Linked DNA regions of Caenorhabditis elegans. The protein of the gene in region 3 purifies or fractionates together with the protein of the main gene of each other region. This does not show direct contact. Each region holds a gene or a part of one and is shown on either strand. Other genes may lie near its edges.

Region 1 (8,715 bases), on a different chromosome or scaffold from region 3:
ACACCCTCTGCTATGCCCCATTATGATCACTTTTCCCTGCACATCTAGCTCGTTTAACAATGCTTCTGAGTAGCTATTTCGTTCCCAGTTTCCGAAATGTTGACCGGGGTAGGCTGAAATTTTTTTAAAAATTATTTGATGGTTTTTTTAAAAAATAAACTGAAATTACCAGGAGTTTGCTTGAAACCTGGGTAGTTAATGCCAATGAATCTAATATTCATGTGCTCCAAACGCTGCCTAACATACTTGAAATCTTTGTGAGATCCTGGAGTTCCATGGAATCCGATTACAGTGCCCAGTGGTGAGCCTGATGCAGAAGTATCCTAGAAAATTGACTATTGAATATTAAAAACCTTTGGCTTACCGTACCTCATAAACTGCATTTAAATCTACCAATCTTCCCCTTTTGGTTTGGAACTGCACCAGCTTTGAGTACAACTTTGGCTCACTGGCGGGTAGGATGGAAAATGCTCGTTTTGACACAATCATTCTTGAATTTTTGAAATTAACTCTGCAAACAATACATCGAAATGAAACAGTTTTAGGAATTTGAATTTAAAACAATTGAAGTCGCGTGAATTTTTAAACGTGAAAATTAATTTTTTTTAAAAATCAAAATTTGATTAGTTGTCTTTTTAAATAGTTTTTTTTCCAAATTTTTTGTTTTACAATTTTTTATTGAAAATATAGCGATTGTTAAAATAATAGCAAAAAATCAAAATTTAAAAAAACCACAACAGACTGGCAAAAAGGAGAACAAGAAATGACGTCAAATGCGTACCCACAGGAGGAAACCGGTCAGATGTGTCTGTGTAGTCAGTGTGTAGCCAATGCACCCCCTCCTGTACTTTGGACCCTTGTCTATGTTTTAAGAAATTTTCAAATACAAACCTTAAACTGCAGGGCACTTTTTTCAGATTGAAAACTTTGGTTGGCCCAAAATTTGTTTTTTTTTTCAAATTTTTGTTGGCGTTTTCTGGGACAGTATTTCAAAATCTAATAATTTCTTGTATGTTTTTTATTGAATAAAATTACTATCACAGTTCTCAAATTATAGTCGTTGGAAATATTTTTCTTGGTGAAGATTCTCGGCGAATTCGGCAAATCGGCAAATTTGTCGCACACCCCTGATGTAGAAATAAGCTAGGCCCGTAACTAAGCATCCCGTTGGTATGACCATCTATAAAGCCGGTATATGATAGGTAGGTAGGAAAGCCTATTTTCACTGTATTTTCAGAAAATTAGTTGTATTTTATTGGTTTCTGATATCTGGCAGCAGGAAAACGAGTAGATAGGCGTAGGTCGGCTTGAAGGCAAATATGCATTTTTGGGTACTATTCCTTTTCTTGTACCTTGATAGCGTCCTACCAAAAAATAGCTGGAGTTCTGGAAAAATCGATTTTTACAGCATTCTGTGTCAGTTATTGAAATTATTCGAAAAATGTTTTTTTGCCAAATTTTACAATAGAAAAAATCGTGCTTTGCTGAAAGTATTGGATATATTATCCATTATAAATTCAACGGAAAACATGTTTTTATTAAACAAAATATCCATTTAAAAAGGGCACCTGTAAGTGAGTTTACATTCAAGCCATCAATTCTATCTTCTTCCTACTCATCATTCTCGCCTGGATTCCAAATTTTGGAAGTTCTCAGGATAATGAGGCTCTTGGAGTGAGTTTTTAATAATGTTCGAAACAATTTGTATAGATGCTTTACAGGAGCTAACAGGAGCTATGTTGTCGCTAAGAGGCTTGGCACAGAGTGAAGAGAATTTTAAAAAGGTGTTCCAAGAGTTTGACGAAGACGGAAATGGCTTCATCTCTGTTGCTGAACTGGAACCCCTCTTCAGCAACTTTCAAGCACGGCTGTCTGCCGAAGGGATTCGCAAAACTTTCCGTTACACCGATATCGACAGAAATGGTCAAGTTGATTTAGATGAGCTCATCGATGTAACCAGAGCTGTAAATCCTTCTCTTTAGAGAATCACCAACCTCAAATTTTCCAGTTTCCTCCTCTTATCCTCTCGTTTATAAGTATTATCTTCCCTAAAAAACTTTGAATAAATATTTCATCAACCTTCAATTGAAAAACTCTTTTTTTTGCCGATTAAAAACTTTGGTTCACCTAAAATTCGTTGTCTTTTGTAATTTTTGCTGACTTTTTCTGGGGCAGTATTTCAAAAGCTAAATATTTTTTGTAAGTTTATTATTGAATAAAATTACTATTACAGTTCTCAAATTATAGTCGTTGAAAATATTGTTCATGTTGCAGATTTCCCTTTTGTTTGTAAAGTTAAACAATTTGAAAATTTCAAAACATTAATTTAATAACATTGATCTAGCAGCATCTGCCAATAAATCCGCCCGCTTCTTATTTTGAAAATGATTATCCTTTGCAATAAATACAGATGTTCCTTTTTGATTTTTGAAACTTTCCATTATTTTCTGCTTTTCGGATTCTGTGATATTCGCTTTGAAATTCTGAAATTCCTTCCAATTTTTCAAGTTTTTCTATCACAAAACTTACAAAATGCGCGAGTCCCTGATACTTTTTGAGTGCTTCAAAAACAATTTCCTTTTCAATTAAATGATCACTTCCGCCAAAAGTGATCATAGTCTTTGTGGGCAGTTCATTTAATTTCAGAATGTATTCCAGTTGCTTTTCCAGGTCACAGTTCATAATTGCTCGAATAACCGCCACGGCTTCTTCACCATCATGAATTTTGAATCCAACCAATTTCATTACTGGAAATTGAAATAATTTATAAGATCTGAAGTATCCCTGAAAATTTCGAACATCCTTTAAAGGTGGAGTACCGAAATTTGAGACTTTGCTTATTTAGACCCAAAATGACCCAAAACCATCGACTTTCATAATGAGATGTTTTGAAAGTTTCTCAAAAACGGGTTTTTTCTAAAACATTGAGCCGACATAACTTTTATTTGAAAAATTTTCAGAACATCTCATTACGAAATTTGGTAGTTTTGGGTCATTTTGGATCTAAAAAAGTAAAGTCTCAGATTTCGGTACACCACTTTTAAAAACTTAGGTCTAACGAAAATACGTATTCCTAAACTGCCAAAACTACACTTTAAATAAGCCACTACCAATAATTTTGCTGCGTTTTGAACTAGAAAATTTCCGATCTCAAATTTTATTTTTACAGGACATTTTTCCAATTGTTCTGAAGCTCGTAAAATTGCTCTAGGGGTAGGCAACATCCAGAAAACTTTTCAGATTTTTGCTTTTTTTTTAATCAAAAACGCTCCCAAAATGAAAAAGTTTATGAAAAAATCCAACTTTCAAGCATTTTGACGAGCCTCAACAGTAGTAAAACACCACATTGAAACATTTTTTGGTAGTGGCCTATGGCATATTTCTCATTTTGCTTATACTCACAATTATACAAAATGGCATCTCCAATCTTTTTCGGCAATTTCTTATGTAAATAAATCAGCGACTCCAACTTTCCCTTCGGACGAGACCCTTTATTAATCCTCAACCCTGTTGGATTAGCCATCACTAGTCCATGAGGTTTCCGATTAGCTGCTGTTATCAGTGCATTCTCACATCCTCTGCTATGCCCCATTATGATCACTTTTCCCGGCACATCTAGCTCGTTTAACAGAGCTTCTGAGTAACTATTTCGTTCCCAGTTTCCGAAGTGTTGACCTGGGTACGCTGAAATTTATTTTTAATTATTTGATGGTTTTTTATTAATTAACTGAAACTACCTGGAGTTTGCTTGAATCCTGGGTAGTTAATACCAATAAATCTAATATTCATGTGCTCCAATCGCTGCCTGACATACTTGAAATCCCTGTGAGACCCTGGAGTTCCATGGAATCCAATCACAGTACCCAATGGGGAGCCAGATGATAATGAGTCCTGAAAAACTGACTTTTAAATTGAGAAATCAGTATTTCAGTGTCAACCTACCTCATAAACTGCATTTAAATCTACCAATCTTCTCCTTTTGGTTTGGAACTGCACCAACTTTGAATACAACTTCGGCTCGGTGGCGGGTAGCGTGGAAAATGCTCCTTTTGACATAATCATTATTGATTTTCTTGAAAGAATTTGTATCATAAATCACCAATTTGAAACATTTTTATTCACGAGATATTATCAAATTTAATCAAATTTGTGTTTAGAAAAAAAAATCTGACCTTCTCCATTTTTGTACTAGAAACGTAAAAAATACAACGATTGCTGGAAAATCAAAAAGACAAAATATAAAGCACAACATGAAGCTGGCATGTAAAAAAAGAAAGAAGATATGACGTCAACTGCGTACCCAAACGAAAAAGAGGAGAGAAGCGCGGGTCAGCTGTGTAGTTGGAGTGTGGCCGGTGTGCCCATCGGGTACTCTGGACCCTACTGGAATAAAATTTTAGCTTTACTATTAGATGAGTTTTTTTTTACATTTGATAAAAAAACAAGCTTTTTGGACAATTTTTTCTGGCCAAAAGAAAATCAAAAAATAACCGTCTAACAATTGACATTGAGTTGCAACTGTGTGAAGACGTGAAAATTTGAGAAAAAAAAATTCGCATTCAGAAAAATGCAAAAATTACACTGTAAACTGAAAAAAGCTCTAAAATATGAGTTCAACAAAATTATACGTTTGGCCAACTGCGAAGATTTGCAATTTGGTCGCCTGATGCCGAAAACTTGCCGAAAATTTGCCCATCGATAGCTGAGTTTTTAAACCAGTCAATTGAAGTATATCAGGAAAAGCGAACTCACAAGATGTCGGTCGCTGCAGTTTTTGACATTTCTGGTATTTTTGGGTGTTGTTTTTTTGTCAAAAATAGGGGACTTTTCAGATATGTATGTTATATCACATGTTATGTATGTTATGTATGTTATATTAGCCGATATGGAACCAAAAATTATCGAAATTGGTTACCTATCGGCTTTAAATATACCTTATATCAACGAAAGTAAATGAGATAAACTACCAATATATGTAATAAAGGACGATAATTCCAAAAAAGTCAACTTCGGACATGAATCTTATTTCGCAATGAATCTTGCGCAATGAATCTTATTTTGGCACCTCATGTCCTATGCATGTTTAATACTTTTACCCATTATTCATCTCCCTGACACCCGCACATTCATGTACCAACTAATCAACTTTTCAGATGATAATTCATTTTCTGTATGTTTATTAGTTTTCTGTATGTTTATTATCGTATGTTTATTACGTTTATTATCATGATTTCAATCGTAATAAATTCAATTCAATTCAATATGTAAAAGCGAGAATACAATTTATTGTAAAATTACATTTTTTGACAGCCTTTATTTCCGAATTTTCAAAAAATACAAAAAAAATTCAGAAAGAGGAAGGAAAAAATTCAAGCAACTACATGAATTTCCTAAAATTGAAAAAAAAAATCGTAGTAAAATTTTTCAAAAATTAAAAAAAAACAACTTTTAAAAATTTCAACGAGCGGATTCAATGGTGTTTCAAATATTTTTTAATTATTGGTGAGGGTTTAAACCAGCGATTCTCGAATTTTTTTCACCAAAAATTTGACTGAAAATGTTGAAAAATGTTAAAATTTTGAAGTGTTTCATTAAAATACTGAACCGGCAATAGGTGGGCGGCAATTGCCATTTGGCAATTTTGGCAAATTTTGTCGACAAACTCGGCAAATCGGCAAACTGCCGGTTTTCCTGATATTTTCAATTCCGGCAACTTGCCGGTTTGTCGATTTGCCGGATATTTTCAATTCAGGCTATTTGCCGATTTGCCGTTTGCCGAACACCAATTTGCGGGAAGTGTTTAGAGGGAATTATTTATGAAACCGAAACACTTAAATTTGCGCCTTTTTGAAATTTTTTTCCCCGTTGTCTTCAGATAATTTCATAGAATTTGTGTACTTTTCGAAACAGATGTAGGAACATTCATAGAATGCGTACAATTTTGCCGATTAAAATTGAAATTCTGAAATTTCCAAAAAAAAAACTGTACAAAACGACAATTTGGGTGATTTGCCGGTTTGCCGATTTGCCGGAAATTTCATTGCGGTATATTGCCGGCAGCTTCGATTCCGGCAATTTGCCGATTTGCCGGAAAAAATAGTTTGCCAACCACCCCTGTATTGGGTTATTTGAAATGATTATTATTTCCCATTGGTTATATCTTCAATGTTTAGCAATGCAATAAAATTATTTCCCCCCCCCCCCCCCCCCCTGCAAATAATTCCAGTGACAATTTTCCATAAAATAAATATGTTCGGCAACTCTGCAAAAGAACACCAGGTGTGTTCATAAAGTCGTATTGTGTGGAAGTTTGAACACTGGAACTTTGGATTCGTCGGAAAACAATTCATCATAATCGAATTTCTACATATGCAAAAATTCAGAGTAGTTAAATTCGCTTAGCAATATACGGTGATCTACAAAAAATGCGGGAGAAGAGACGCATAGTTCTCAACTGATTTCGTATGGTTAAGAACGTGCTGACGTCACATTTTCTTGATAATAAATTCAATAATAAAGAGAGTATGCGCCTTTAAGGAGTACTGCAGTTTCGAACTTATTATTTTTGCAGAAATTGAAAAAAAAGTTGTTCTTAATATGGAAAAGGTGAAAAAAAGGAAACTACAGTACTCCTTAAAAGGCACACCCTAATTTTTTTTATTTAAAAAAATCGGTCGTGTCCAGATCATCTGAAATTGAACTTATGAAGAATATGAAATATTTTTAACCGAAAAAAAAAAAACGAAAGTACTGCGCAAAAACCCATTCCAATTAATCCAGAGAAACTACTTTTGAAATCGGAAAAAAGTGCATTTTCGTTTTTCATAGTGTTTTTTTTTCTAAACAGCGGTTTTTTTTTCAAAATTTGCAAAAAAATAAACTTCTTCAGAAAAAAAAAAGAAAAATAAGTTTTACAGAACATTTTTTAAAATATTAATTGGACGCAGAATTTTTTTGAAATCGACGTGAAAACGCGCCCCACGGCTAATTGAAACGCCCCGCCGCCCGAGTCATGGGTCTCGTTAGGAATTTGACAGTAAAACCGTGGTGCCAGGCTGTCCCATTACGTTTTTGATCTACAAAAAATGCGGGAATTTTTTGCGCAAAAAAAGTGACGTCAGCACCATACGAAATCAGTTGAGAACTCTGCGTCTCTTCTCCCGCATTTTTTTGTAGATCTACGTAGATCAAACCCAAATGGGACACTCTGACACTAAATTCAGAGTTTTCCATTAGTTTTGCATGCTTTCAAACAATTTTCGTCTTGATTGAAAGCATGTAAAACTAATTGAAAAACTCAATTTACACGTGGTGTCAGAGTGTCTCATTTCGGCGTGATCTACGTAGATCTACAAAAATTGCGGGAGAGAGACGCAGTGTTCTCAACTGATTTCGCATGATTAAGAACGTGACGTCACATTTTTTGGGCAAAAAAATCCCGCATTTTTTGTAGATCAAACTGTAATGGGACAGCCTGGCTTCACGTGAATTTAGAGTTTTGCAGCCAAATACCTAACGAGACCCAACGTATAGGGGCGGACAGTTTTTCATTGGCCGTGGAGCGCGATTGCGCCATTTCCCCAATTTGTTACTAATTTTTCTTCCATTTTCAACCAATTCACTTTTTTCAGGGAAAAAGCACAAATTTTTTCCAGCTTCCTCGCCAAAACGAAAATATTTTGAGAAGCATCTTCGATCGCCGGGCGGCGGCCGATTTTTTTCACACATCGCTCACTTCTCAGTGCATTCTCATGCAAATCGTCGCGTCCCTGGCACACAATCACAAAAGTCGGGAGGGGTGGTGGTAGATAGAAGGAAAAGGAAAGAAAAGACAGTTTTCAATATATTTGAAATATTTTCTTCTTCGTTTCTTTTTTTGTGCTCTTCTTTTATCCAGTTTTTTTTTCAATATATTTAACAATAATCGTGGCAATATTGAAGACTCCCCCACATCTGTTGTTAGTCGTCGACGCGGCGCCGTTGTGTGCACATATTTCAATCGGAAAGTTCTGAGTTAGCAAAAACAAAGAGCATCTGTCAAAACGTTTTGATGATTTGATGACGAAGAGTGAGGTTCTCAATTTTATCGCCGGTCCCGTATTTTATGCTCCGAAAACTCTTTTGTTTCATCTCCGTATTTTATTACACGATTTTGTTAACAAATTCCTCGTTAAAGTTGGTTTTTAACGCAAACTTTTTATTTTTTAAATTTAATTGAAAAATAAAAATATATACTACAGTAGTTTTTTGAAGGCGCATGGCTGAATTTTTAAAGTCGCGTCGAGACCCTTCACACTTTTTTGAGATCCGCGCCTTTTTACTACGGTATTGCTAGTTTTTATTTTCTTTTTTAAATGCCTTTTTTGTGGATTTTCCTTGTTTTTTGCCAATTTTCGCGCATTTCCGTCCAATTTTCTTGCGAAAAAACTTAAACTTTGTAGAAATTTTCGTTGAATTTTCATGCAAAAACGTCAATTTTCGGCGAGTTTTCCGTTTTTTCCTTAGAAAACTAAAGTTTTTCAATTTTTCCGGTCGTTTTCCAGATTTTTACCGCGTTTTCCCTGTTTCGCTTCAGTTTTTATCTAATTTTTCAAGTTTATTCCTTCAGTTTCTGTGAAAAATAATTATTTTCACCTTTATATCCACCACTTCCCAAGAAATCCCTCTCATTAATTTATTTTTTCTCAATTTTATCCAATTTTTCACCGCAATTCT
Region 2 (8,435 bases), on a different chromosome or scaffold from region 3:
CTTGTGTGGGAATGGATTATCACCAGCAGCTCTACGGGCCTCAATCATCCTAACTCTCATGTTGAAATACTCTTGGGGGTCAGAAGGATCCGCCTCTCGCACAACTTTTGGAGCATCAGCGACGGCAACATTCAGCTTAGCAGCATCCTTCTCCAGACGTTCTTGTTCCTTCTTGGCTTGCTTGGCGAGCCTCTTCTGCTCACTGAAAGAAACATTATTGATCAATGGTGCTGGTTGTCACAAAATCTGAGGACACGTCGACTAACCGAGTGTTTTGGCTCAGAAAAACTGACGTCCCGAAAAATGAAGACGACCTACGTCGCAAGAATGAAACAGCCGATCGGCTCAACATCGAATGAGACACGATCATCATTTTTCTCACTTACTTCTTACTCAATTTGGCCTCTGGCTCGCTCATTGCCCTGTGACAGTGCTTGAAAGTGGCTGAAAAATAATAATCAATTAATTTAAGAAAAATTGCATGGAATTATGGAAATAAAGCAGAAAACGGAACAATTCAACTCATGTTTTTAGAAAATCCTAAAACTAAAGCGAAATATCTCAGTCTGAAGATTAGGGAAATTAAGACACACTTGACGCATTTTTATTGTTGTCTCAGATAAGTTTGTATCGGAATTATGGACAAAAAGCGAAAAATCTAAATGAAAATGAGCTGAAAACATCTCAAAATGCATTTTAAAATGCTCAATTCCTCCCAAATTTTGTAGCGTTCGGACATTGGCTTTAGAGCGCGTTTGTATTTAATGAGGAAACGGAAAACGGAGGAAAGAAATTTAGAGATTCGATGGTAGTTTTTGGAAGGCTATCTTTATTATTTAACTCAAAAAGTTATTCAAAGCTTTAAAATAATATTTTCAATATTTTAAGCAAAGTTTTTATTAACGCATTCAATGGATAAAACGCGCATGAATGAAGCAGCATTTCTACGGAATACATTTCTCCAGTGTCGGTAGTGTCTCCAATTTAGAACTTTCCAAAGTTCATTCAACCATAAGCTAGTAATTTAATTTTTGTTTTGTTTTATTTATAAAGCACAAAGCTTATCAGAGTTGCGTTTTCTTGTTTAATCTGATGGAAAGTGTTGCAATATTTGTTGTGAAATCATTTGTTTTAGTTAAAAAAATATCAGTAAGAAAACTGATTATTCGAAATGGAGCATTTTAAAATTGTTAGGCGAATATTGAATTGTTGATTAAAATATATATCAAACTTTTAAAAATCGCGTTTGATGTTCATAATTTTTAGGCTGTAAATCTAATTTATGATTATCTCCCCTATTGTAGCACTTTAGGTGTTAGAAAATGGCAGTTCAGAGACAGTTCAACGTTTTTGCATCGAAATGTTGTGTAATGATAGTTTATATTGTCATCATCATTTGATCTTAGATATATGAACATTGCTCTCACTCTCTTTCTTTACTGTCTCCAGTGTGATGTCACAGAAGAACAGTTGACTTTCAATTGCACGTGGGAACTCTTGAAAAGCAAGTGCAACTCCTGTATGAAAGAATCAAGGAGCTCCTAGGAGTATCGAAACCGCCAAAGTTCACAGCTACACGTAACTAATCTCAATTCTTTTATGAGAACGACAAAACCTTATTAGCACTACTTTTGACTAGAAAATCTATATCTCTCTTTCCTTCTTTTTTTTTACAGAAAGTGCAATTTCGCTCCACCGCCGTACTAGCTTTTCTATTTAACCATCATAATCTTTCCTTTCTTCTGTTCTGTCTCTCATTCATCTCGATCCGAACGAATTTCTTCATTCTCTTATCTTATTTTCAAAAACAAGTTGTGTCGAGTCAATTCTTTTTTTTTTCAGAATGTTGTCATCGTCTGGACACGCAATTCGCCGCGGAATCACCACATCTGCTGCACTATCAAACAAACATGCTTTCATCGTCGGAGCCGCCCGTACACCTATTGGATCATTTCGTTCTTCTCTCTCTTCGGTAACTGCTCCAGAGCTCGCCTCGGTTGCCATCAAAGCAGCATTGGAGCGTGGAGCAGTGAAGCCGAGTTCAATTCAGGAGGCGAGTGTGTTCTTTGTTTGCATTTTTCTATACTAGTAATATCTGAAATTCTATATCACTTCCAAAAACTACCGATTTAATCTTAAAATGCCTCAATTTCAGGTGTTCCTTGGTCAAGTCTGTCAAGCAAATGCTGGTCAAGCTCCCGCTCGTCAAGCAGCTCTTGGAGCCGGACTCGATCTTTCGGTTGCTGTTACCACCGTCAATAAAGTGTGCTCTTCTGGGCTGAAAGCAATCATTCTTGCTGCCCAGCAAATTCAAACCGGTCATCAAGATTTTGCCATTGGCGGAGGAATGGAGAGCATGTCACAAGTACCATTTTATGTTCAAAGAGGAGAGATCCCATATGGTGGATTTCAAGTGATTGTGAGTTTAATTTATTTTTCTAAAAAATATTAAATTGTCTAAAAATAGTCTTTAAACTTCTTTAAAAGAAATCAATGCTCACATTTTCTTATTCAGGATGGAATCGTCAAAGACGGACTGACCGATGCTTATGATAAAGTTCACATGGGAAACTGCGGAGAGAAGACTTCAAAAGAAATGGGAATTACACGTAAAGACCAAGACGAATATGCTATCAACAGCTACAAAAAGTCAGCTAAAGCATGGGAGGTTTGTCAACTGATTGCTCTTTGTGCGTTTTATGATTCCATGTTGTTTAGAATGGAAATATCGGACCAGAAGTGGTGCCAGTGAACGTCAAATCAAAGAAGGGAGTCACGATTGTTGATAAAGATGAAGAGTTCACAAAAGTCAATTTCGACAAGTTCACCTCGCTGAGAACTGTTTTCCAGAAAGGTTTGTACTATTCTTATCGTGAAAATTGAAATCAACATAATATATTAAGACGGAACTATCACTGCTGCTAATGCTTCAACATTGAACGACGGTGCAGCTGCTGTCATTGTTGCCTCACAGGAAGCAGTTTCCGAGCAAAGCTTAAAGCCTCTGGCCCGAATTTTGGCTTATGGAGATGCCGCCACGCACCCACTCGATTTCGCTGTAGCACCAACTTTGATGTTCCCAAAAATTCTTGAAAGAGCAGGAGTGAAGCAATCAGATGTTGCTCAATGGGAAGTTAATGAAGCCTTCTCATGTGTTCCCCTTGCTTTCATCAAAAAACTAGGAGTCGATCCATCCCTTGTGAACCCACATGGAGGAGCTGTTTCAATTGGTCACCCCATCGGGTATGTTGCCATATCAGTTGACCGTTCTTTCCGCATTCTTATCGTAAATTTGTTATCGATTATTTTTCTTTCAGAATGTCCGGAGCCCGCCTCATCACTCATCTTGTGCACACACTCAAAAGTGGCCAAATCGGAGTTGCTGCCATTTGCAATGGAGGTGGTGGCTCAAGTGGAATGGTTATCCAGAAATTATAGATTTATAATTTAACTTTTTTCGTTTAAAGTTTGTTACCTTTTTTCACGATTAGCTTGTATTTATGTATTTTTCGCTCATATCGAAACTCCGGTAAATAGATTCATTTATTATTTTGATTATCTACTTCTCTTTCATTGGTTTCAAACCAATTTCAGTTATCTTTTTTTATTCGTATGCGATTTTTCTAATAATCCAAAGTTCAGACAGTCTATCGCAATGTCGGATAAAAAAGTTTTCATTCTGAGTGGAGCTCGCACTCCCATCGGAGCTTACCGAGGATCTTTCGCTAACTTTGGCGCAGTTGAGCTCGGAACGGTCGCTGCAAAGGCAGCAATTGAACGATCAGGTTAAATTACTGATAATGAAATTTTGAAACAAATATTAAATATTTTTAGGAGTTGCTCCGGAGAAAATCGAAGAAGTAATTGGTGGATGCGTACTTCCGGCCGGTCTAGGACAAAATGTGACCCGACAGATCTCTTTGTCGGCTGGTCTTCCAGTAACAACGCAAGCTGTTACGGTGAACAAGGTTTGCTCTTCTTCGATGAAAGCCTTGGTGACAGCAGCTGTGGAAATCAAAGCAGGATATTATGACACTATTCTTGTTGTTGGAACTGAAAATATGAGTCAAGTTCCATTTTACGTGCCGAGAGGAGAAATTCCATTTGGAGGAATCCAGATGACAGATGGAATCTCGAAGGATGGACTTGAAGATATTAAAGAGAAAGGTCCAATGGGATTATGTGCTGAGAAGACTGTAAAAGATTATGGAATTACTAGAGAAGAACAAGATGCATATGCTATTGAAAGTTATAAAAAAGCTTCAAATGCATGGAGTTCTGAAAAGTTTTCGGAAGAAGTGGTACCAGTTAGTGTTAAGACTTCGAGATCGGAAGTAGTGATCACTGAAGATGAGGAGTATAAGAAACTGATCGAGTCAAAGGTATGCAGAAAGAAAATGTTTATCAAAAATATTAAACTTATTTAGGTTTCCTCTTTGAAACCAGTCTTCGTTCGTGACGGCACTGGAACCATCACACCGGCCAATGCATCTTCGCTTAATGATGGAGCTGTCGCAACTGTCGTTGTCGGAGAGAATGCTCTTCCACAAGGAGCTCATCCACTTGCTGAACTCGTGGCATTTGCTGAAGCTGGAAGAGCTCCCATTGATTTCACCGTGGCACCAGTGGACGCCGTTCGTCTTCTTCTCAAAAAAAGCGGGCTCCAAGTTTCAGACATTGCATTGTGGGAGCTCAACGAAGCATTTGCCGTCACTGTTCTTGCTTTCATCAAAGAACTTAATATTGAGCCAAGTGTTGTTAATGTAAAAGGAGGTGCAGTAGCGATTGGGCATCCACTTGGGTAAGTTTTTTTGTTGATTCAAACTTCAGTGAGCGTTTTCGGAAAAATTAGAATGTGTACAGAGAAAATTCTGATAGCAAAAAAACATTCTAAAACACAAAAACAAAACATACAAATTTTAAAGTAAACTTTAAGTCCGAACAAACCTATATTAATTTTAATAATTTTCAGAATGTCTGGTCTCCGAATCGTCAACTCCCTTGCATATTCTTTAGCTCCAGGACAGCTCGGTGTAGCTGCAATTTGCAACGGAGGAGGAGAAGCCACAGCAGTGCTCATCAAAAAACTGTAATATGAACCTCTTGCCTAAATGTTTTCTGGTCTTCTATTCATCATTCCTTGATTCACTTTTACAACAAATTTCGATTACGTATTTATAAATAGTTAAGGTTCTTGTCACATAAATGTTTATTCTCAAATGGTGCATACGTGTTATTGATTGGGAAATGAATTAAGGTTAATATGTACATTATCAGGAATGGTTTTGAGCCATCTCAAAAGAGATATACTGGAAAAATCGGAAAAGCATTTTTCTTTTGAGATATATCATTCATTCACGTCTTCAAGGCAAAACATATAAGGGGAGATCGTATACAAATAATCACAGGGAAGAATTGGTGGATGATAAAATGATCCCATAAACCATTATTAGTTTGAGAGATCAAGTTGGGGGAATGAGAATATTAAGGGGGGAAGAATTTAACCGGGAAGCAAACATAGAGCGATTTAATTTTTCCGGGATTTGCTTTGCTAGGCGGTTCCAGGTGGCGAGGTTGGCTCTGAGGAATCCTTTGTTTGTTTCGCCAACAGATCTGAGCATGTAGGGGTATCTTGGAGTTACAGCTTTCTTCACCGACGATGACACATTTGGGTAGTGGAAGTTTCCAGTTATGATGTTGTGGTAGGTGCGAAGGATCTGCAAGACCCGCCTATATTGCACTGACTTCAAATTGGCTTGGGCCAAACGATCCTCGTATGAAGAATACTTTATGTTGCAGCGTTGGAAGACGAGCCTGGTGAAGAAATGAGATGAATCAATAAAGGCTATGAACGGGTAACTCAATAAAGTATCTTCCTGGACTGGGATGATTCCGAGAAAACAATCACAAACGATACGGTAATGAATAGGAATCCATTGATTTCATTTTATCTGTAATTTCAGTGTCTGACAAGAGATCGTCGTTTCGGAATTATTACAGGCCCAAATATGGCTGGAAAGTCAACATATCTGAAACAAGCTGCCCAACTAGCAATCATGGCATAGGTAGGATGCTTCATTCCAGCAAACTATGCTTCGTTGCCAAGTAACCTAAAAGTTTTGATTTGCTATTTTCTATCGTCGAATTAATTTCAGTTTTTAATCGTATCTTCTCCAGAATGGGTCATAACGACGAGTTGATCAGAAATAAGTCTGCATTTGCATCTGAAATGTCAGATGCAGCTGCAATCGTACAGTATGCCGATAAAAACTCACTTGTAGTTCTTGATGAGCTAGCACGAAGCACATCGACTGAAGAAGGAATCGCCATCACCTATGCGATTTGTGAGAAGGTTCTAAAGTTACATGTGCTTGTAAAAACAAAAAAACGAATTGTAAATTTTTATTTTCAGAGCTATACCTTCCTGGCTACACATTTTCTCGATATTGCAGCTCTCGCCAACTATTCAAATGCAATTGACAAGTGATTCTACAACTCTACAACTATTTCTTTCGAAACTTCTTTCTTTCAGTTACCACTTTCTTCCACAAATTGATGACAATTCGACGAAAAAGCACAAGTTGTTACGTGGATAATATAGAGACCATTATACGGTATGAATAATTCATTATTAGCAGAAAAAGTAAATGATAGACCGTAGAAAAGTGTGAGATGGGAAATTTGGAATCAATAAAGGCTATGAACGGGTAACTCAATAAACTATCTGTTTGTGAAAGCTTGTAGAAAATAAACGAGTTGGACCCGATATAAAAAAGTATTGAGAAATTGGATCTTCTAGAAAGAATCTTCGGATGATGCGTAGATCTTCTGAATTAATGAGGAATGCTTGTAAAATTGATAACGACTGCGCTGGAATCGGCGGTTTTCGAAATCTCGGCTGAAATCCTCATTGAAGGACAACTGGCTCGACGGCTTCATTGGGCAGTACCTGAAATGCTCACGTTAGAAATATATTGAATATACAGTGTGGGAAAGTTCTATAGGACCCCCCCTAATTTGAAGGTTTGAGGAACTTCCGAAAATTTTTTCGAAAAACTGCTAATGCCGTTCGTTTTTAAATTGAAAAAAACCTATATAAATTTTTTTCCAGAAGTTTATCTCAAAAACTGAGGTCGCGCTGGAAAAAACGTCAAAATCCAGTGTGAAACTTCTATAGGACCCCCCGTTTTTTTTCACGATTTTTACTAAAATCAACAGATTTTGGAATTTTTGACAAAGCTCAAATCAAGTTTGAGTTAGAAATGAGTTCATATAAGCAGTTTTGACTTTAAAAAATTAATACGAAATGTTCTCGTGGGATCTCCAGACTGGTTCTGATTCTTCCGATCTTTGATGTTCAAGTCTGTTTCAAGCTTCCTGGTGCTCTCGGTAATGCCAAAACTTGATAAACTCTCTTTAACAAGTTCCTACTAAAATTCCTAGCACGCACTTTAGATGTTTCGACTGTGTAGTCAAGCTGATTTGGCAAAATATGCAGCAGGAAACAATGGAAGGCTTATCAGGAATCAAATCGTTTTTCTTTGATTACAAGGTTCCATGGGACCAATATTTCAAGTTAAATTGTCCCTCACAGATGTTATTTACTATTTTTTGCGTGAATTATTAAATGTGGAATTGTGGCATGTGTTGTGGCACACATATAGAGGCTGGAAAGCTTACTTCGAAAGCAGTCTAACTTGCAATGCCTCGAGGATCTGCCCTTTCGGACACTGAACGCGCTCAGCTGGATGTTATGAAATTGCTCAATGTGTCCCTGCATGAAATGAGTAGGAAAATTTCCCGTTCTCGACACTGTATTCGCGAGTATCTGAAGGATCCGGTGAGCTACGGTACATCTAAAAGAGCTCCTCGTCGCAAAGCTCTCTCCGTGCGTGACGAACGAAATGTGATTCGTGCTGCCTCCAACTCCTGTAAGACGGCAAGAGATATTCGCAATGAGCTTCAATTGTCTGCTTCAAAAAGGACCATCCTCAATGTCATCAAACGATCTGGTGTAATCGTTCGTCAGAAACTTCGCCCTGCTCCGTTACTCTCTGCAGACCATAAACTCAAGCGATTGGAATTTGCTAAGAACAATATGGGAACGAATTGGAGTAAAGTGAGAATTTAAAAAAGCAAGAGTGAATAATTAGGATCATTGTTTTAGGTTGTCTTCTCCGATGAAAAGAAATTCAATCTCGATGGGCCTGACGGTTGCCGCTACTATTGGCGCGATTTGCGCAAGGAACCAATGGTTTTTTCGAGACGTAATTTTGGAGGAGGAACGGTGATGGTTTGGGGAGCGTTCACGGAGAAGAAGAAGCTTGAGATACAGTTCGTCAGTAGCAAGATGAACAGCACTGACTATCAGAACGTCTTGGAACTGGAGCTCTCCAAATATCTTCGTCACTACTCCAGAAAAGACTTTAGATTTC
Region 3 (3,612 bases):
TGCTCTCCGATCGCCGAAAATATTTTGCTCATTTTTGCCTAAAACTCGCAACTCAACTTGCTCACAAATTTGTTGGATCATTATTCCGTTGCCGAACAATTAGTACTCATGGAGCTGAGCAACTGTTACTTGATACTCATTCGCTAAAAACATTTTTGCTCAGTGTACCATCAATTGATAGTATTATCAACTCAAAACCACCAACGGCATACGTTACCAGTGTGAATGCAGCTCTGACAAAAGCTGAAATGATTTTGAAAGTGAGACATTTTAGATTTTTTAAAGAGATCGAAAAATCAAAAAATCAAAAAACAAAATTCGGTTTTTAAACATGGGTTTTAATTTAAAAAAAAATTGTGAATTTTCCGGAAATTCGAAAGTCAAAATAAGTTTAGAAAGACCAAAATTTTAATTTGTTGTTTTCCATTTTTCCAAAAACGCGAAATTCAAAATAAATAATTTTTCAGGTAGTAATGTGCAGTTTGGAGACTGTCGATGAATTTGTTGAACAATATATTAAACTTCTACCAGCGTCGGATGCAGCAGAAATGCAAAAAGTTCTTGAAATGAAAGGAGTTAAACGACAAGAGCATTCGGCAGTTCTCAACGCTTATCGATTGAAAATCGGTGCATCTGGCTCGGATCCAATTCAACAATCGAATAGTCTAACTTCTCGGATTGGTGGAGCACTACCAACTGTTGGAAGTGCAGCATCTGTATCTGAAGCATTCAATGCAGTTGTATCAATGGCAGCAGATGGATTGTCTGATCAAGCAGTGACGTCATCAATTGATAAGCTTAAAAGATTCGAAAGACTAGTCAAACGACAATTGTGATTGTTGATCTACTACCAAAGAACGAAATTTATAATTTATTTACATAATTTTATTTGAAAGTTTCTCAGAATACTCATCGGAGTTTTGTATTTATTTATTTATTCATGTGAAATGTTTTAATAGTTGTGAATAAGATTTCTAATTCTTACTTTTTATACTTTTTGTTTTAATTTAATTTTTATGGGTTGTTCTCCGAAATTATTTGATTTTTTATTATGCAGTAACTCAAAGATACCGTATCCTCTCTCGCCACAAACGAAATATTTTGAAGCCGTGAAAAAAGGAATGCTCCTTTAAGTAGTACAGTAACCCACTCTCTGTTATCTCGCGCAGTTGTCTCTGCTTTCCCCTTTTTGTTGTAAAATTTTACCAATAAATAATTAGCATACCAAATTGGTCTGCTAATTATTCAGCATACCAAATTGGTCTAAATCTTCGGAATTTTATTTTTCATGTGTTTAGAAAATAAAAAACAATTATTTGGATCTAAAAAATTGCTATGTAAATTGCAATTATAGTACTCTTCAAATGCGCACATCTTTTTGTATTTCACACAAATTTGTCGTGTCGAGACCGGATATGGTTTCTTTTGGCAAAAATCTAAATTTTGCGTCTGTGTTATTTAATAACAATTATAATTGTTCCAAATTAGAGTCTTCTTGACGAAAAAACGTAAAAATTGGCACGTTTAGACACGTTGTATAACAACAAGAAAAACCTTTAAAAAGCAGTGTTTTCTTGTTTTTATTGTTGATTAGTTCATAGATCACAGTTCACACTGTGTGCTCTATCGTTCGTATATCTCTCACTGTCTGCGTCTATTTTCATATCTGTTTCGTTCACTTTTGCATCTTTTACAATTGTCTTCTTTTTCTTGAATACTTCCAATTTTCTTCTCATTTCTTAGTTATCAACATTTTCCAACTCAAGTTCTGAAATTTCAGAAATCAAGATGATGCGCTTCTCGTCGATGCTGGTTCGCAATGCCAAATTGTGTGCAAATGTCAACCAAATGCAAGTCGCCGCATTTTCAAGCAAAGCTCCTGAAATGATCAAGATCGAGAAAGTTGGAGAGAAGCAAAATGTTGCTCTTATCAAGCTGAATAGACCAAAAGCTTTGAATGCTTTGTGCGCTCAGCTTATGACTGAATTGGCTGATGCTCTCGAAGTTTTGGATACTGATAAGTCTGTCGGAGCAATTGTGATTACTGGAAGTGAGAGAGCTTTTGCCGCTGGAGCTGATATCAAGGAGATGGTTAGTCAGCGTATAATCCAATTTTTTAAAAATTATCGGATTTCAGACCAATAACGAGTTCGCCACCACATTTTCTGGAAGCTTCCTCTCCAACTGGACCGCTGTCAGTGATGTGAAAAAGCCAGTTATTGCTGCAGTGAACGGATTTGCATTGGGAGGTGGAAACGAGTTGGCAATGATGTGTGATATTATCTATGCCGGAGAGAAGGCTCGTTTTGGACAACCTGAAATTAACATTGGAACTATTCCAGGAGCAGGTAATTGACAATATTTTAAAATCAAATTTTTAAACGTCGATGATTCAGGAGGTACTCAGCGTTGGGCTCGCGCCGCCGGAAAATCATTTGCCATGGAGGTGTGCCTTACTGGAAACCACGTGACTGCTCAAGAAGCTAAGGAGCACGGTATTGTGAGCAAGATTTTCCCAGCTGATCAGGTTGTCGGGGAAGCTGTGAAACTTGGAGAGAAAATCGCTGATCAATCTCCACTGATTGTTCAAATGGCAAAGGAGGCCGTTAACAAAGCTTATGAGCTTACTCTTCAAGAGGGACTTCACTTCGAAAGACGACTTTTCCATGCCACTTTTGCCACCAAGGATAGAAAGGTAAATTATCAAAATGAATTTTTAAATTGCAATCTAGTTTTGTAGATAAATTATTTAAACTTATTTATTATTACGGTAGAAAAACTGCCAAATAAATACAGTGATCAAAATATTGTTCCAGTTTTTATTCCACCTTCTCTTAAAATGAAATAATCAGTTTCCTACCTAGTTTAGTATTTTTCTCGAAAACCTGATAAATTCCCCTTAAAAGATGTTTTTCAGGAAGGAATGACCGCTTTTGCCGAGAAGAGAAAGCCACAGTGGGAGTCGAAATAGATGCGCATCTACAGATAAGAGAAGAAGATGATTCAAAGTGCCTAGTTGAATTTCTTGTTTTATTATTTTTATTGTGTTTTGTATTTTTTCTGTATTTTACGGTTAGTTTCTTCTGCCATTGAAAATAAATATATATGTAAAGCTGCATCTTCACGATTTTCTGATTCCTTTTTTTTTGTAGTCAGTTTCGATTTTCCATATTTGTGATTTGTGATTGTTTATGTTTTTTTTTTGAAAAAAAAATCAATTAAACACTACAGAAACACTACACACTTGTATGCTGAATAATAGCATACCCACCTTGGGTCTGCTAAATATTAAATTTGTGATTTCTGATTGTTTATGTTGTTCGAAGAAAAAATCAATTAAACACTACAGAAACAGTGGACAGCGATGTGGCTTGACTGGTTCTTTCCCGTGAGTTTTGTAATATTTAATGGCCGGCAGGGAGCAACATCAAGCGGCAAAGTTTGAAAAATCTTCCCTATCACGATTTATTAAGTTCAGTTTCAGTTTCTACTGTACAAAAATGTTTTTATCTACTATACTAGTATATCATTACCTAACCACCAATTTTCGGCCGCCCTTTCTTAGTTTCTCTCAATCTCTTCTAATATTTTCTATATCTGATTACCTCTCTC
Region 4 (8,306 bases), on a different chromosome or scaffold from region 3:
AATGACGTCATCAGCTTCATCGTCAACATCTTCTCTCTCATCATCGGATGCTCCAATGATCACAATGACACCACGACGTGCTGCTCAAAAAGAGATGAAGCCAAAGACTGATGTGCTCGGAGTTCGTGTCTGTCCACTACAGCTCATCGCAGCAATCGCCTCGGCTTAAAGCTTCTGGATTCTGGATTTCCCCCTTATTTTTGGATTATTTTAGTGTATTTTTTGGGGGGTTTTTTGGGTTTTCGAACTGAAATTTTGGCTTAAAAAGCCTAAAAAACCCCTAAAAAACTGAGATAATCTAATTTTCCCCTGCAAAACTTATCCATATTCGTCTCTCTCAACAATTTATCACAGTTTTGGCTTCTTTTTTTGAAAATTTTCACTTTTTTTTTTGTTAATTTGCAATATATTTTGTTTGTCTTGCTGCGGGGGATTTTTTCGTTAAAATAGAGAAAAAAAAATCGAAAAAATTCCCCGCGAAATCCCCGTGTGCTACTAGAAATTCTGAACCATTGTAGATATTTCGGTTTTTTTTTCGAAATTTCTTTCCCGGAATTCGATAGTACAAATACAGGTATTCCCCCGTCCCGTTTTCATTTTTTGACCCGAAAAATCTTAGAAATTCGATATTTTAGACCGCCCATCTTTTTTTTCGCGTTTTTTTCCTTTAGTTTTCCCCCCCACCAAAACGTGATGATTTTCCTGTACATATTGGATTTTTCCTCACCTTTTTCTTCCATTTTTTGTCCATTTTCACTTATATGTTTTGTTAATTATTGGTTTTTGCCCCCCACAAAAATGCTCAAAATGGCTCCAAATTTCCCGGAAAAACGGGTTTTCTTTCGGCGAAAATTTTGAATTATTTAGTGAAAAAATAGCCAAAATTCTCAAATTTTGCACGGTTTTTTCAATTTTTTTGCAAATTTTGGTGCATTTTCCGTAAAAATCGACAAAAAATTGCGAAACACATTTTTCCGAGTTTTTTTTTTGCCGATTTCGTGCAAAAAACGTGGGAAAATCTGCAAAAATGCAGAAAACAGGAAAAAATTGATTTTCTGCCACTATTTTGCAATTTTCGGTCGATTTTAGTGCATTTTTAGCCGATTTTGACTGAAAATTTGCAAAATATTGATTGAAAATTAAATTTTATCGATTTTTTCTGATATTTTGGCTTTTTCCCAAGTTTTTTGTCGATTTTGTGCACAAAACGTGAAAAAACCGATGAAAAAAAACTTGCGCGTCAAATACAATGCACTGCGTACACTCGCGGTGTTTGCACCGAGTGCATTCTAATTGACGGGCAAAATCTTTTTTTACACTGAATTTTTACGATTTTCTTGAGTTTTAGCCAAATTTGCTAATTATTCGTACATTTTTGTCCATTTTCAGTCGATTTTCACTGAAAATTACCAAATTTTTCGCCTAAAAACTGTTTTTCCACGGAAATTTGGAGATTTTCACAGTCTCAAAAATCAATAATTATCAAGTGTGTACCCAACTTCAAAAATTGATTTTGGCCGGGTCACACGCCACTTTTTCTCGATTAGTTTTTCAATATTTTCTGGGAAAACTCGCCAAGAAAAATGGGCGGCCTCTAAATCTCTATTATCGATTTTTCTTTTTTCATTTTTTTTCATTTTTCCCCATACTGAAAATCGACCTTTTTAGGTTATTTTCACTCTGTTTTTGTACCATCTTTTCTTCTTTTTCTCTATGTCTCGTTATTTCTGTGTTAGCACCCCCACTCTCTCTCTCTCTCACTCTATCTCTCTCTGTCTCTCTCTGTCTCGCCACGTCATATTTTAATGTTCATATCCCCCCGAGTCTGGTCACACTATCCTACAGTAACCAAGCCTACAGTCTACAGTAATCCTATATATCTATCAATATCTTATAATCTTTTAATATATATAATCCACACAGTTTAGCTGCTACAGTAATCCCGGCTAAATTTGTTCTCTAGTCTATTGGTTTTTTTTGAAAATTTTAAATTTTCCCCCTCACCCACCCACCCATTCATTTAAATCTCTCAGAAGCCTTAATTTTTAAATTTTCGCGCGAGTCGAACCTCGATCTCCCAGGTTTTCGCATTCCTTCCCACTTTTTTTTCCATCTTTTTTCCTGTTTCTTGGCTATTTTTTGGGAAAAGTATCAAATTTCTCTCGCGAAATTTGCGATTTCCCGAAAATTTGCCAACTTTCCACTGAGATTTTGGCGTTTTTTGCGCATTTCCACCTCTACCATCTGTACGGATTGCGATTTTTTTCACTGAAATCGAATAGATCACTATCAAGACAAAATTTCCAGGCTTTCAGGCTCTCATTAGGCTTGTCTGGACTATTTTTCTTGAAAAGAAGAAGAAGTAATAAATACGTTGTGATCTAAAAAAATATTGTGTTTTTTTTCAAAAATTCAGAATTACATAAAAGCATAAAATGAGATTCCAGTGTACATTAATCGAATGGAATTTGAAATTGGAAGAGAAAAAGTTTGAGATTTATCGGCCACTTTGGATTTGTCGGCTTTCCGTTTGGATTGGGGGCGAAGACGGGCGAGAAGGCGGATTCGAGGGCGATATTCTGGAAAATTTGAATTTTTTTCCCGTTTTTTGGGAATTTTTAGCCCAAATCGCTGGAAAATAGGCCAAAATCGATAGAATTTTTTGCAAAAAACTGGCGAAGTTGAATAAAAAAATAATTTTTTTTACAATTTTTAATGAATTTTTCCCATTTTTTCGCAAATTTTCGTCGTTTTTTGAGAATTTTCCGTTTAAATCGGTGGAAAATAAGCTAAATCGACAAAAATTTTCAGAAATATGTGGAAATTGGATTAAAAAACCATTTTCAGCGAATATTACGTAAATTTTGGTCGATTTTGGTGCATTTTTTGCCGATTTTGACTGGAGAAGTCATATTTTATGGTTTTTTTTTTCGTCGATTTTGGCCCATTTTCAGAAGATTTTTTTTTTGGCCAACTCACTGCAGGAGCTCATCATTGTATCCAATTTTTCCGTAATTTCCATCGTTCGAACCTTCTCCAGAATCGCTGAGAGCCTGGCGTAGATATTTGGACTTCTACGGCTGAAAATTATAAAATTTTAGTGAAAAATCATCAAATTCTGTAAGATTTACCCATCAGGGCGCCTCAATCGGCTGATAGTGACACGAAATCCGACGAGTTGAGTTTCCGACGGTGTTACCATGCATACTGGAAGAATTTCAAGTTATTTTTAATCAAAAATCATCTGAAATTAGCTAAAAAATTCAAGAATTTCGAAAAAAATGCAGAAAAAAAGATTTGCGCGTCAATTAAAATGCACTCAGTGCAAACACCGCAAGTGTACGCAGTGCATTGTATTTGACGCGCAAGTTTTATTTCTGGGTTTTAAAGCATTTCTACAGCAAAAAATACAATAAAATCAATTAAAAATCTAGATTTTAGGCCCAAAAACCTTCAAAAGCCAATAATCGTCCTGCCGCAATATATTGCTCCGCGAGCTGACAATTTTCTTCAACGTGTCGCTGAAATCGTGCATCCGGGCATTTCGAATGCTCATAATCCTGTCCAAACTTCATTTTCGGCCAATCCGCCGTGCTCGGCGAGCATCTTTCCATTGCCACGTAGCAAAATGACGTCAGAAAGTCGCAGAAAATGGCGGTATCCCGAAGATTGCCACCAACACGTCGGCGATGCTTCTTGCCGAGAATTACGTGGTGGGGAGGTTTAATGATGACGGCTTTGGCCGTTGTGATGTTAGTTGCTCGAAGAGATTTCATTTTTAGGGTCTTCCTGGGGAATCTGAAAAAAAAATTACCAAGACGTTTTTATCCTGAATTTTGCGATTTTTAAAAAAATTTTACAGAGAAAAATTCAAAAAAAAACCGCGCCGCGCTTGCTTATTCTAAGGCCCAGACGCCAAATTTTGTGATTTTCGCGCCAAAACTACGGTACCAGGTCTCGCCACGCCTTTTTTGAACTGCGAGCAGGTGTGCGCCTTTAAAGATTACTGTAGGAATTTTTTCAATCAAAAACTATGAAAAATCGGTTAAAATTCCACAGCAACCAAAGTTCGAAGTTACAGTAATTTAAAGGCGCACACCTGCCCAAAATGCTTTTTTCACGATTTTTCTCCAAAGTTGTAAATTTTAGAGAAAAAATCGTGTTGAAAACTCAATTTTTATGCAAAAGTCGGTAATTAGGCCATTTGGACTCGGCTACGGCCGGGGTAGATTTACGGAGCGGCGCGTGTCGCGTCGCGGCTAGTTTTTCATTGTAAAACTGAATAAAATGGTTTGTTTAACGGTTTTTAACGAAAATTTACAAAATTAGGTTTAATTTAACCTAATTTTGCAAATTTCAAAGGGAAATATTAAATTTTTCAAGTTTTTGAGAGAAAAATCGTAAAAATGCCCAATTTCAGCCAAAATTCGCGCGAAAATCCTGAAATTCAATCAATTTTCAGCGAATAAAATTACATGAAATATGTAAAAAACTCCTGGATAATCCCCAAAAAATTCCAACTAAAAAGTCGATATTTTCATTTGAAAATTGAAAATTTGTCGAAAAACTATATATAACTATATATCAGGGGAGGAAGGCGGGAACAAAAAAATTTCAAGGCAGCACAGAAATGGTAGAAAAAAAGAAAATATAATTTAATATAAATAAATCATTGGATAAAATTGGAATTAATATAGTAGGAATCCGGTTGTGGTATATAAAACTCGTTTTTTGCTTCTTTTCAGGGGGGAAAAAGGATGGCACAGGAAGGGAAACGGCGGGAAATTAAACTTAAATTAAAAAATTTTTTTGGCGGGATTAATTTGGGAAATTTGGAGGAAAATAGGAAAACGCGGATAAAAATGATGGAAAAATGGGATTTTTTTTCTTTTTCTGATAAAACTATGATATGATTATGAAACAAGATCAATGGCAGGGGCAGGGATGAATATAGGATAAATATTTGTATATATATATAGGTATTTAAATGGATAAAATGTCTAATTTCTTCTTCTTTTCTCTTCTCTCTCTCTCTCTCTGTACATAAAAAATCGATAATTCTACACACTAAAACAGTGGATTCTCGTGTGCCGTGCTGCGTCTCTTCTGCTTATTCGACTCTTTTCTCGGCATTTGAACTGTAATTCGCTTCACAATTTGTTGGAAACTCGGCCGCTTCTCCGGTTGGCTCGACCAGCATTCCAGCAGCAGTTCGTGCAATTTTCCGTCGATTTTTTGCAGCTGGGCGTCGAGCCGTTGAAGTGCCGCTTTTTGGCCGCACATTTTCGCGTAGAGCTTCTGATCCCAAGAGTCACAGCCCGTTGGCATACGGCGGAGCAGGAGTTCGAAGAAAATTGTACTGAAAATTGGGAAAATTTTCAAATTATTGATTTTTAAAACTTTAAATATAAAAAATGATAGTTTTTTGACTAGTTTTGAAAAAAAATTAATTTTTATTAAATTTTTCCCAATATGTCGATTTACGCAGCATTTTTCAGTGTTAATTTCAAAGTTTAAATATTAAAAAAAAAATTTTTTTCGCTTTTTCAAAAATTGTCGATTTTTAACTCAAAATATTCAAAAATTGAGATTTTTTTCACTAGTTTTGTGAAAAAATCTTCATTTTTAATGATTTTTTCCAAATTTTTCTCAATGTGTCGATTTACGCAGCTCTCTCGTGTACTCCTCGTGGAGAAGAGGTAAAGATTCTCCAATTTTTAGCTAAAACTCTCAGTTTTGGACCATTTTCACTGGTTTTTTTGTATTGAACACACAAAATCGTTCATTTTTTGGTGAAAAATACAAAAATAGTCTCAATTTTAGAGTTTTTGACCAGTATCCATAATTTATGAATTTACTGGTCAAAAACTCCAAATTTGAGTGTTTTTTTTCGCATTTTCATCAAAATACATAGAAATAAGCAAAAAATGGACGATTTTGATGTTAATCACAGAAGAAAACTAGCGAAATTGGTGCAAAACCGAGAATTTCACCTAAAAACTGTAGAATCTTCGGCTCTTCTCCACGAGGAGTACACGAGAGAGCTGCGTAAATCGACAGAGAGGCTCCAGCTCTTCCATTTTTTAATTTTCGCTAAAAAGAAGAGCACCGATTAGCAAAATTTCACAAATTTTTACGAAAAAAAAACGGTAGCCCGGGTCTCGCCACGATCGAAAATTCCCAGCTACCGTACCCCCGAGAATTTCGCAGTTTTCCCGATATTTTGAAAAATACGCCAAATATCAGGAAAATTACGAAATTCTCGTAGGTACGGTAGCTGGGAAGTTTCGTTCATGGCGAGACCCTGAATACCGTCTTTTTTAGTAAAAATTTTGAAAAAAAAATGGAATTCTGTCTTTTTCTTGACATTGACTTATTTTTGTCCATAAATTACGAACAACACGCCAAATATCAAGAAAATTACGAAATTCTCGGGGGTACTGTAGCTGGGGAAGTTTCGATCGTGGCGAGACCCCGAGCTACCGTAGTTTTTCGTAAAAATTTGTGAAATTTTGCAAATCGGTCTCCCAAACTCCATTAAATTTGAAAATGGAAGAGCTGTCGATTTACGCAGCTCGCTCGTGTACTCCTCGTGGAGAAGAGCTCTAAAAACGAATTCTTGTGGCGAGACCCAAGGCTACCGGATTTTCTGGCCAAAAATCGCATTTTTTTTCGCAATTCGAAAGCGGTTTTCACTTAAAAATCCGATAAAATACGAAATTTCCTGGTTTTCTTGGTGTGTTTTTCGTAATTTATGAATAAAAATGAGTAAATGTCAAGAAAATGGCAGAATTCAATTTTTTCGAAATTTTTACGACAAAATACCGGGGTCTTGCCACGATCGAAAATTCCCAGCTACCGTACCCCCGAGAATTTCGCAGTTTTCCCGATATTTTGAAAAATACGCCAAATATCCGGAAAACTGCGAAAGTCCCGTGGGAACGGTAGCTGGAAAGTTTCGGTCGTGGCGAGACCCTGAATACCGTACTTTTTAGTAAAAACGTCGACAAAAATTGAATTCTGTCTTTTTCTTGACATTTACTCATTTTTATTCATAAATTACGAAAAACGCCCCAAAAAACCAAGAAATTTCGAAGTTCTCGGAGGGACTGTAGCTGGGGAAGTTTCGATCGTGGCGAGACCTCTGGCCAAAAATCGCAATTTTTCGCATTTCGGAAGCGGTTTTCAATCAAAAAAAATTAAAAATTCGATAAAATCCCCCCGTACCCAAACGAATAAACATCAGATTCTTGTGAAAACGGTAGTTCATGTTGAAACAACACATCACCCCTCCAATCAATCATCAAATTTCCAGCAATTTCCGGCGAAAGATAGTCAATCCAGTGATTTGGGATTAAAAGTGTACAATTTCTGCGGGGATTCTCCAGCCGCTCAAGCTTCATCAACGCAAAATCCGTAACAACGACTCGATTCGGATTGTCCAAAAGAATATTTTTCGTTCGTAAATCTCGATGAAGTATCTTCTTTTTATGCAGATAAGACATTGCCTGACAAATTTGCAACGAAATTTGAAATGTCCACGATTGATCGAAATCTTCGGATAATTGTTCATGAATTCGGTGATAAAGAGTGTTGTGTTGATAGAAATTCGTGACAATTGCGTACGTATTCGTCACTGGATCTGATACGTATCCGTAGAATAGGGCTATATGATCGTGCCGCGAGTTCTGGAAAAAAATCGAATTTTTTTTTGTGGGGTAATTGTGTTTTTAATGCCAAATATATAACAATTTTGCACAGAAAAAAAGTTGAATTTTTCATTTTTTAAATTAAAAATTTTTTTTTCGCAATTTTTGTTGAAAAAATTTTTCGCATTAATTTAGCACAGAAAAACCGTTTAAAAATCGTAATTTTACGAAAAACTTGGATTTTTGGACACGAATTTTTAACAAAAATCCAATTTTTTTAGTAGTGTAAACAAAAATTTGAAATTTTCAGACAAAGGGTCATAGAACATATGCCAAAAATGGTTCATTCTCAAAAAATTTTTTAAAATCAATTTTCGGTAATTGTTATAACTTTTGCATTAACATCTACTCATTTTCGTTAATTCTATAGTTTTTTTTTGGGATTTTTTGAGTATTTTTTTCACAAATTTTTTATAATGTATACTTTATTATGACAAGAGTTCTGGAAAATTTGTTTTTTGGGGAAATCGTGTAAAAATAGCGAAAAATTCAATATTTTAGGCCAAAAATAAGAATCTTACACAGAAAAAATCGAAAAATTTTTGAATTTTTTAAAAATAAATTTTTTGGTGAAAAAAAATCGCATTTATATAGCAA

Evidence for each region.
Region 1: the proteins of ech-6 (region 3) and K08D9.4 fractionate together in Caenorhabditis elegans (co-fractionation; one large-scale study listed by BioGRID). This does not show direct contact.
Region 2: the proteins of ech-6 (region 3) and kat-1 fractionate together in Caenorhabditis elegans (co-fractionation; one large-scale study listed by BioGRID). This does not show direct contact.
Region 4: the proteins of ech-6 (region 3) and F58D5.9 fractionate together in Caenorhabditis elegans (co-fractionation; one large-scale study listed by BioGRID). This does not show direct contact.

Annotation. Positions count from the first base shown.
Region 1 is NC_003283.11:3,196,352-3,205,066, forward strand, and holds K08D9.4 (AB hydrolase-1 domain-containing protein), read right to left. Parts: upstream 4,073-8,715; 5' UTR 4,063-4,072; coding exon 3,943-4,062; intron 3,892-3,942; coding exon 3,738-3,891; intron 3,685-3,737; coding exon 3,403-3,684; intron 3,310-3,402; exon of another isoform or gene 3,289-3,309; intron 2,748-3,288; coding exon 2,530-2,747; intron 2,484-2,529; coding exon 2,322-2,483; 3' UTR 2,193-2,321; downstream 1-2,192. Other genes in the region: Y73C8B.1 (AB hydrolase-1 domain-containing protein), read right to left, coding at 1-113, 170-323, 370-489; Y73C8B.5 (EF-hand domain-containing protein), read left to right, coding at 1,196-1,202, 1,592-1,674, 1,722-1,982.
Region 2 is NC_003280.10:7,071,972-7,080,406, forward strand, and holds kat-1 (Acetyl-CoA acetyltransferase homolog, mitochondrial), read left to right. Parts: upstream 1-1,842; 5' UTR 1,843-1,843; coding exon 1,844-2,053; intron 2,054-2,155; coding exon 2,156-2,419; intron 2,420-2,515; coding exon 2,516-2,668; intron 2,669-2,718; coding exon 2,719-2,854; intron 2,855-2,903; coding exon 2,904-3,243; intron 3,244-3,317; coding exon 3,318-3,438; 3' UTR 3,439-3,540; downstream 3,541-8,435. Other genes in the region: kars-1 (Lysine--tRNA ligase), read right to left, coding at 1-202, 267-370; T02G5.7 (Acetyl-CoA C-acetyltransferase), read left to right, coding at 3,656-3,785, 3,835-4,382, 4,428-4,801, 4,973-5,093.
Region 3 is NC_003281.10:9,751,052-9,754,663, reverse strand, and holds ech-6 (putative enoyl-CoA hydratase, mitochondrial), read left to right. Parts: upstream 1-1,780; 5' UTR 1,781-1,788; coding exon 1,789-2,091; intron 2,092-2,137; coding exon 2,138-2,348; intron 2,349-2,396; coding exon 2,397-2,695; intron 2,696-2,917; coding exon 2,918-2,971; 3' UTR 2,972-3,112; downstream 3,113-3,612. Other genes in the region: vps-53 (Vacuolar protein sorting-associated protein 53 homolog), read left to right, coding at 1-260, 468-836.
Region 4 is NC_003279.8:12,042,818-12,051,123, forward strand, and holds F58D5.9 (Cystatin domain-containing protein), read right to left. Parts: upstream 3,802-8,306; 5' UTR 3,777-3,801; coding exon 3,452-3,776; intron 3,208-3,451; coding exon 3,132-3,207; intron 3,081-3,131; coding exon 2,980-3,080; intron 2,580-2,979; coding exon 2,419-2,579; 3' UTR 2,384-2,418; downstream 1-2,383. Other genes in the region: F58D5.5 (uncharacterized protein), read left to right, coding at 1-169; ksr-2 (Kinase suppressor of Ras B), read right to left, coding at 5,068-5,359, 7,228-7,688.